Linked DNA regions of Rattus norvegicus. The protein of the gene in region 1 purifies or fractionates together with the protein of each later gene. This does not show direct contact. Links are inferred from orthologs where the notes say so. Each region holds a gene or a part of one and is shown on either strand. Other genes may lie near its edges.

Region 1 (3,908 bases):
TGTTTCCTGATAGATGTCACCCTCTCAATAAAGCTCTCTGGGGGTAAGTCATCTCAGTTCCTGTCTATCTAAACTACCATATTTTTGAGACGGGGTGATCTTATGTGGCTCTGGCTAGCCTGGAACTCGCTATACCGATAGACCAGCAGCAGGCTGGACTCGAACTCCTAAAGATCCACCTGCCTCTGCCTCCCTAGTGCTAGGATTAAAGGCGTGAGCCATCCCATTCGGCTAAGAAGAAAGCCTGTGTCTTTTATTAATTTATAGAAATGGCTCAGTGAGTACGGACAGCTCAGTTCAATTCCTGGAGCCCAGGGTGGAAGGAGAGAATTGTCTTCACTAACTGGGCGCTAACTTCGCCCACACGCTGTGCTGCACGTGAATCCCCCACCCCATTAATTAATAAAAAGCGTATCTATATCAGAGGCACTCGGTACAACTTTATTAACTACATAGTGAAATTTTAAAATTTCATATATGATTCCCCTTTCTTGTCACAAAGTATCCTCCCCAATCCTCAACTTCTTTAAAATGTACTGGCCGTTCTTTACTCTGGTACCGTAGGTGACTGACAAAGGTCAGGGTCGGTAGTTGAAGTTAGATTCCACAAGCCCTTGTGGGAGCAAGGCAAAGCCTCTGTCATCCTGCGAATGGACCTCAGCTAGATCAGGCCCAAGTAGTTGTCGTCCCCACCCGTCCCAATTCTGGGAAAGCCATCAAGGTTGGTTTCCCGCACCCTCCAGCCCACCAAAGCCACAAGAAGCCACCCGCAAAGCCAGGAACGGTGCACAGAGTACAGCGAGGCGAGCGCGCACCTGCTCCCGGGTCCCCGCGCACCTGCTGAGTCGCGCTCGGGCCTCGTCTCGCGAGATCCGGGCTGGCGTAGTGGCCCCCACCCCCACCCAGGCCACCGAGTACCTCTCCCCGCCCCCGGGCCGGGCCTCCCCGCTACCTCCGGGACCAGACCGGCCCCCCTCCCAGCCCCCACAGCATCGTAGCGGCTGCGCTCCGCACGCAAGCCCCTCAGCCCCAAGGGACCCCCGCCTCCCCGGCTGGAGGGTGGCCCGGCGGGCAGGTGCACGAGCCGCCTGCCGCCAGCGGGTCCCAGGCGCGCCCAGGGTGGGGGAGACCCGGGCACCGGCTGCGCGCACGGCGCCTCTCCGCGCTGCATCCCTCGCTCCGCTTCCCACCCCGCCCTGTGATTGACAGGCAAGATGTCGGTGTGGAGCGAGGCAGGAGCAATTGCAGCAGCCGTCCCCCCTGGAGCCCGGTGGCGGCAACAGCAGCAGCAGCAGCAGCAGCAGCAGCAGCAGCATTGTCGCGGGGAGCAGACCGCAGCCAGCCGCAGTGGGCACCGCAGCCGCGCCAGCCTTGCGCACAGCATCCCGAGAGCGCGCTGAGCGCGGGGACCCGCGGACCATGCCGTGTCACCGCGACCGGGAGGGGGGCAGGCGCGCTCCTTTTTGACATAAAAGCCAGCCGACCAAATAGATTTATATACATATAATTCCGCCCTTCACGGAGCCGGTGTGCGAAGCGTGAGCTCTATTTCCCTCTTCCTCCTCCTTCCACTTCTCCTCCTCCCCTTCCTCCTCCTCGCCCTCCTCCTCTTTCTCCTCCCCCTCTCTAAGTGTACAGACTGCACCCTACCACCTGGTTGGCTTCTGACAAACGGGCATCTCTCCCTTTTTAGGGACCAGGGACACAGAGAAAGAGAGAGGAGAGAGACAAGGGACATTCTAATGCAGACTGCCTGATACTCTACCCCCGCCCCAAATAATAATAAATTTTGGCTCTTGTCCCCTCCTCCAACCCCCACCCCCTCAAGCTTGTGTGAGATGTTGGGTTTCTTCAGGAGACACTGCTGAGAAGTCGCAGAGGTTGGGGAGGCGTAGGGGGGGTGGACTCCCTCTACCTCCACTCCTTCCCTCCCCCTTTTTTCTTTCTGGGAGGAGGTGGAGGAGGAGGAGGGGAAGGGGGGTTGCAGAGCAAGCTATGGATGAGGAGAACATGACGAAAAGCGAAGACCAGCAACCTCTGAGTTTGCAAAAAGCCTTGCAGCAGTGCGAGCTGGTTCAAAACATGATCGACCTGAGCATCTCCAATCTAGAAGGGCTTAGGACGAAGTGTGCAGCTTCCAACGACCTCACGCAGAAGGAGATCAGGACCCTGGAGGTAGGTGTTGCCTGCGGTGGGGGGTGGGGGCAAGCCTTCCATCCCTTCCCCTTTTCCAGTCTGTCCCCTTCCCTTTGGGGTTCTGTGTGCTGACGGAGGGCCCGGGGAGGGGAGAGGGTAACGCAGGTGGGCACGAATGATGCGCTATGATTTATCACCTGGCAAAGCCAGCGCCGATGTCTCTTCGCTTCCCAGTGTGGCTGCTGTCTGTGCTCGGCCGGGTGGTGGTGGGTAGCAGTAATAATTGGTGTGCCGTATTGTTGCCATGATTATTCTTTTCTTGTGGGAGGAGGGAGTTATTGTTATTGTTGTTATTATATATTCTCTCTCTCTCTCTCCTCTCTCTCTCTCTCTCTCTCTCTCTCTCTCTCTCTCTCTCTCTCTCTCTCTCTCTCTCTCTGGGATTTGTTTATATGCCACGGGGGCTTGAGCGCTGGGTGCTATGTTAAGGAGCTGCAGGAAACCCACGTGACCTTGTGTGTTCTGCAGGTGGTCAAAGGTGGTTTTGACTGGTTAGATGGGGCTGCCAGAATGGATTCAACCTTTTGCTCTGTGTCTCATCCCCCACCTCACCTCCCCCAACCTACGCTTAGAAAAAATCCCCAAGGAAGTACCTATTTCTAAAACAATCATTTGATGTAAAGGGGGGGGGTTCTCTTTGCAGGCCCAAAATGTGTAAAAAGAAACAATGTTACAGTTGCCTGGAGTGGTTCTTGCACTAGGTGGCGTGGGGAAAATGCTCTTGGGCTGTCTTGGTGAGACTTGGCGGATAGGGGTCCAGGAGAAGGAGTTACATTTGGCTCCTTGTAGCATCCTCTCTCTCTCTCAGACAGAACTTGAGGGGAGTCGGGAGCAGTTCACTGAGAGACTGTGATAGGGATGCTACAAAGTTACCACAAAGAAATGGAAGGAGCTATTTTCCTTCAAAGGCCATCTTTTTTGCCCCCAGAGGATGCTTTCAGGGTTTTGTGAACGGCCTGATGTACTGAAATCCTCCCGCACCTACCTCGTTCAAAATGTCAGACCGATTCAGCCCCTTCACCTTCCTTCCCTCGAAGGTCCAGCTGTCCACATTGCTTGATTTAATTTGGGAATTCCCACTAGCTGGCCTTTGCCAGAAAGTGGTGACTGTGGAGCTCAGAGCAAAGGAGGGTTCCCATTGGCATGGCCGTGCATCATGGAGCTGGATGGTTCAGTTGGCCTCTGGCTTGACTTGTGAGTTCCTGAGCCTGAAGTCTTTCTTCAGTCTTGGCTGACCAGGTCATCTGCATGAACACACCTCTTGGATGTATTCATTTGTCAGGCCTTTTTTTTCTCCTCGATGATTTTAAGTTTGGCCCTCCTGGTGTCTGTATGCAGGAGACTATGGTTTGGAAAGAGGAGTTTGTGTGCGTGGATATTTAAATACGGTGCTTACTGCCCTTGGATATATGTCTGTGCTCACCTGTCAAGTGGGAACATGAACCCCAGGGATGAAATAAGATAAATGTTAAAGTGGGATGTGCGTTGGGAGGCCTAGGCATTGCCTTTCTTAGGGGGTGGGGGAGAGAGAGAGAGAGAGAGAGAGAGAGAGAGAGAGAGAGAGAGGAGTAGGAGTGTTTGACTAGCGGTTGCTGCTGGAAGAAAAGGGTTGGCTAAGGTTTGCTGCTGGAAGTTTCGGGCTGTGGTTAGCCCAGCCCCTATCTCTGCTGCACAGGACCCAGAACAGACTCGGTTCAGAACTATACTTGGGA
Region 2 (3,808 bases), on another chromosome or scaffold:
GTCCCTGATGCCAGGGACTGGGCTTTGACAGAGGTGGTTCTGTCACTCAAGCTCAAAACTCTCTGCCTCCCAGGCCATGCGCCTGCTGGGAACCTGGGAGAGCAAGGGCAGCTGGGGCTGATAGGGTAAGCCTGCCTGAGTTCTGGGTTGGTCTTCCTGACAAAGCCAGCTGCTGTCATCTCTGTGCAGGACGGTGGCTCACTGGACCAGGTACTGAAGGAGGCCAAGCGCATTCCCGAGGACATCTTAGGGAAGGTCAGCATTGCGGTAAGTTCGTTGGCTGCTGCTCCTTTTTGGGATATCATGTCCTATCCCCATCTACTCAAGGTTCTCTGCCAGCCCCACCATGGCCTGTGTGTGGCCTGTGAGCACTCCTTTCTTCCCCATATAAAAATGACTGTGTGGGGCTGGAGAGATGGCTCAGTGGTTAAGAGCACTGACTGCTCTTCCAGAGGTCCTGAGTTCAATTCCCAGCAACCAGATGGTGGCTCACAACCATCTGTAATGGGATCCGATGCCCTCTTTTGGTGTGTCTGAAGACAGCGAACTCATATATAATAAATAAATAAATAAATCTTGGAAAAAAAAAAGTGCCTATGGTGGAGCCCAGCATGACGGTGTGCACCCATCCAGCACTCAGGATGGGCAGAGCAGCCTGGTCTGCACAGTGAGTTCCAGGTCAGCCAGGACCACAGAGTAAGACCCTATCTTAAAAGAGGAAATAAAAAATTCCAGGGATGGTGGCACATGCCTGTCACCTTAACAGCTGAGGGGAGGAGGGGTTGACACAGAATTGTGGTGAGTTTGAGATAGCCCCAGCCCCTCACTTTGAAATGCAGACAGTGACCATGTGCTTGCTGCAGGATCCTGTGTAGGACTTGGGGACATGTGTCCTGTGGCTGGGGAGGCTCGTCATGGCCTAATCCTGCCGCCCTGGACTCATAGGCTACCCAGATCTGACCTCCCTACAGGTGCTCCGGGGCCTGGCGTACCTCCGCGAGAAGCACCAGATCATGCATAGAGGTAAGCTGGTCCAGGCTGGTGTGGGTGGGACACAGTGGGTGCAGCCTCACCCCTGTGACACTGTCTCCAGATGTGAAGCCCTCCAACATTCTGGTGAACTCTCGTGGAGAGATTAAGCTGTGCGACTTCGGAGTGAGCGGCCAGTTGATTGACTCCATGGCCAACTCATTTGTAGGGACACGCTCCTACATGTCCGTGAGTATCCAAGCCCTTTGTGTACACGCATCCTCAGTGGGGTCTGTCTGTGCTTGTGTGTGGCCTCTACCCTGATGCTACCAACCCCAGCTGTGTCCTGTTTCTTTGACAGCCAGAACGGCTGCAGGGCACCCACTACTCTGTGCAGTCGGACATCTGGAGCATGGGGCTGTCGCTGGTGGAGCTGGCCATCGGGAGGTACCCCATCCCCCCACCTGATGCCAAGGAACTAGAGGCCAGCTTTGGCCGGCCTGTGGTGGACGGGGCAGATGGAGAGCCCCATAGTGTCTCACCGCGGCCCCGGCCCCCTGGACGCCCCATCAGTGGTATGGGACATGACAGGAGAGGGATGGGTGGGGGCTCAGCTGCCACCCTGATGGCCCTCTCTGTACCAGCTGTCCCCTGGACAGGGCTTGCTGTGGTCAGCAGTCCTCAGATGGTCCAGGGCTTTCTGGGGACAGAGCTACAGGCTGCACGATGTCATTCTCTGTCCAGGGCAGCTGCACCTGTTGCTGCCAGCTGGGCGCCGGGAAACTCCACTGGAGCTCAGGCCTTGGCTGCTGCTGGGTTTCCCAGGCATTTCTGCAGGATGCGTCAATTGGGGTTGGGGTACAAAGGGAGCCAGCCACTGCTTGCAGCCTACACATCTGTAGTCTAGTATTCAGGAAGCCCCAGATGCAGGTGATCTGGTGACACCCTGTTGCCTTGGAGGCACAGGGAGCACAGGTTGGAGAGAAACTCATTTCCAGGGGACCTGGGGAGGCAATCCAACCCTTGGAATGGCTGCCTTGGCTACTAAGGGGCAGGAACACCGTCTTGGTGTAGAACAGAGCCTCTGTAGAGCACCGACTTACTGGGATTTATGTCAGGGAATGGGTGGCTTTAACTGCGGAGACACAACAGAAACAAACGCTACCCTTTGCTTCCTGAAAGCCCTGTAGACCAGTGGTTAGCACAGCCACAGACGAGAGTGTCCGTTACCTCTGTCTGGTTCTTTTTTTTTTTTTTTTTTCGGAGCTGGGAACTGAACCCAGGGCCTTGCGCTTCCTAGCTAAGCGCTCTACCACTGAGCTAAATCCCCAGCCCCCTCTGTCTGGTTCTCTGGTTCTTGAACATTCAACCACGCCTAAACAAAGTCCCATTCACACATGTGCATGCTTTCGCGCTCTCTCTCTCTCTCTCTCTCTCTCTCTCTCTCTCTCTCTCTCACACACACACACACACACACACACACACACACACACACACATCCCTCGCTCACTCACTCACTCGCTCTTACCCTGCTCCGAACCTTCCCTGTAGTGGAGTCTGTACTATATATATAACCTTTGTGTCTGGATCTCACCAAGCACCATGGCTTGGAGGTCCCTGCATGTGGCTGGCCCCGTTCCCTCTATGTGTTCTCAGTGTGTGCTGTGTGTACTTCACATACCTTAAAGGAGCAGAGAGCCCCTCCCCACCCTGTGCCAGCACAGGCTGATCACCCTGACCCCAGGTCTCAGAACATGTCTCAGATGGCCCCAGTCCTTTGGCGAGCTGTGGTGACACCAGGCCAGCCCATGGGCTGGTGCCTCTCCTGCCTAAGTCCCAAAGCAGCCTATGACAGGACGGGCAAACAGCACAGCTCAGCAGCTGGCCGTGGGGCCTTGGGCAGGGGTCATCATCCTCCTGTTCCAAATACCAGCAGCTGCTCTGTAAGGTCACATTGGTGTCCCTGCTGTGTTGCCAGTCCCCTCCCCAACCTGCAAAGCTTCCTCCAGCCTGTGAGTGCAGAAGTGAGTCCTGGCAGGAGGACCAGAGTCACTCTCTTGAGTTTTGTAGCCCCCACAGTTGTGTGTTCTTTGTACTGTCAAGTAGGTCATGGGATGGACAGCCGACCAGCCATGGCCATCTTTGAGCTGCTGGACTACATAGTGAATGAGGTGTGTGCCCTTGGCCTTCAGGTATTCGCTCCTGGAACTGGCTGGTCCACCCTGGATGTGTGGGGTGGGGGTGTGGGCTGCTCCTCTGCGGTCCCAGTCAGTGGGAAGCTGTCATTGTCTCCATCATGCTCGGCACCCAAGTTACTCAGCAGCTCAGTCAGGAGGCTTGCATGGGAGGTCAGTGTGGGCCAGCCTAGGCTAGTGCTGTGGCTTGGCTGGCTGCCCAGGAAGAAGGCTGAAGGCATGGGAGAGCTCCTGCCTAGAATCCTCCCATGAGAGGTGAGGGCCTGGGTCACATCCACAGACACAGAAGGGGGTTCCTAGGGCAGACTTAATTCCAACCTAGTACCCTTGTGTGAGAGGCTGAGGCAGGATTGCCTTGGGATGAGTCACATAGTAATTTCCAAAACAGTCTTAGCTCCAGTGTGTGTGAGTGACCCTGACTCAAAAGCAGCCAGTGATGGAGCAACAACAATTCAAGCACGTCTCCAGAAGGGAGACAAGGTCACATGTGACTATGCACGGATGTACCCAGGAGTGAAGAACACTAGCATAAGATGGCCTTTGTGGCCTATGACAGGGCTACCACTGTTCCTGGCATTGACACTCTGGGGCCACCTTCACAGGGAGGGCACCACCCTGTACCACAGGCGGCCCCGCCCCCTAGA

Evidence for each region.
Region 2: the proteins of Ksr2 (region 1) and Map2k2 purify together in Homo sapiens (affinity purification with mass spectrometry; 3 studies listed by BioGRID and IntAct, with this or other methods). This does not show direct contact. The link is inferred for Rattus norvegicus from reciprocal best matches to the Homo sapiens genes KSR2 and MAP2K2.

The regions. Positions count from the first base shown.
Region 1 is NC_086030.1:44,846,197-44,850,104, reverse strand, and holds the start of Ksr2 (kinase suppressor of Ras 2), read left to right. Parts: upstream 1-1,549; 5' UTR 1,550-1,995; coding exon 1,996-2,175; intron 2,176-3,908. UniProt on the Homo sapiens protein: Location-regulated scaffold connecting MEK to RAF. Has very low protein kinase activity and can phosphorylate MAP2K1 at several Ser and Thr residues with very low efficiency (in vitro).
Region 2 is NC_086025.1:9,243,713-9,247,520, reverse strand, and holds part of Map2k2 (dual specificity mitogen-activated protein kinase kinase 2), read left to right. Parts: intron 1-189; coding exon 190-267; intron 268-971; coding exon 972-1,023; intron 1,024-1,093; coding exon 1,094-1,218; intron 1,219-1,330; coding exon 1,331-1,544; intron 1,545-3,072; coding exon of another isoform or gene 3,073-3,075; coding exon 3,076-3,140; intron 3,141-3,808. UniProt on the Homo sapiens protein: Catalyzes the concomitant phosphorylation of a threonine and a tyrosine residue in a Thr-Glu-Tyr sequence located in MAP kinases. Activates the ERK1 and ERK2 MAP kinases.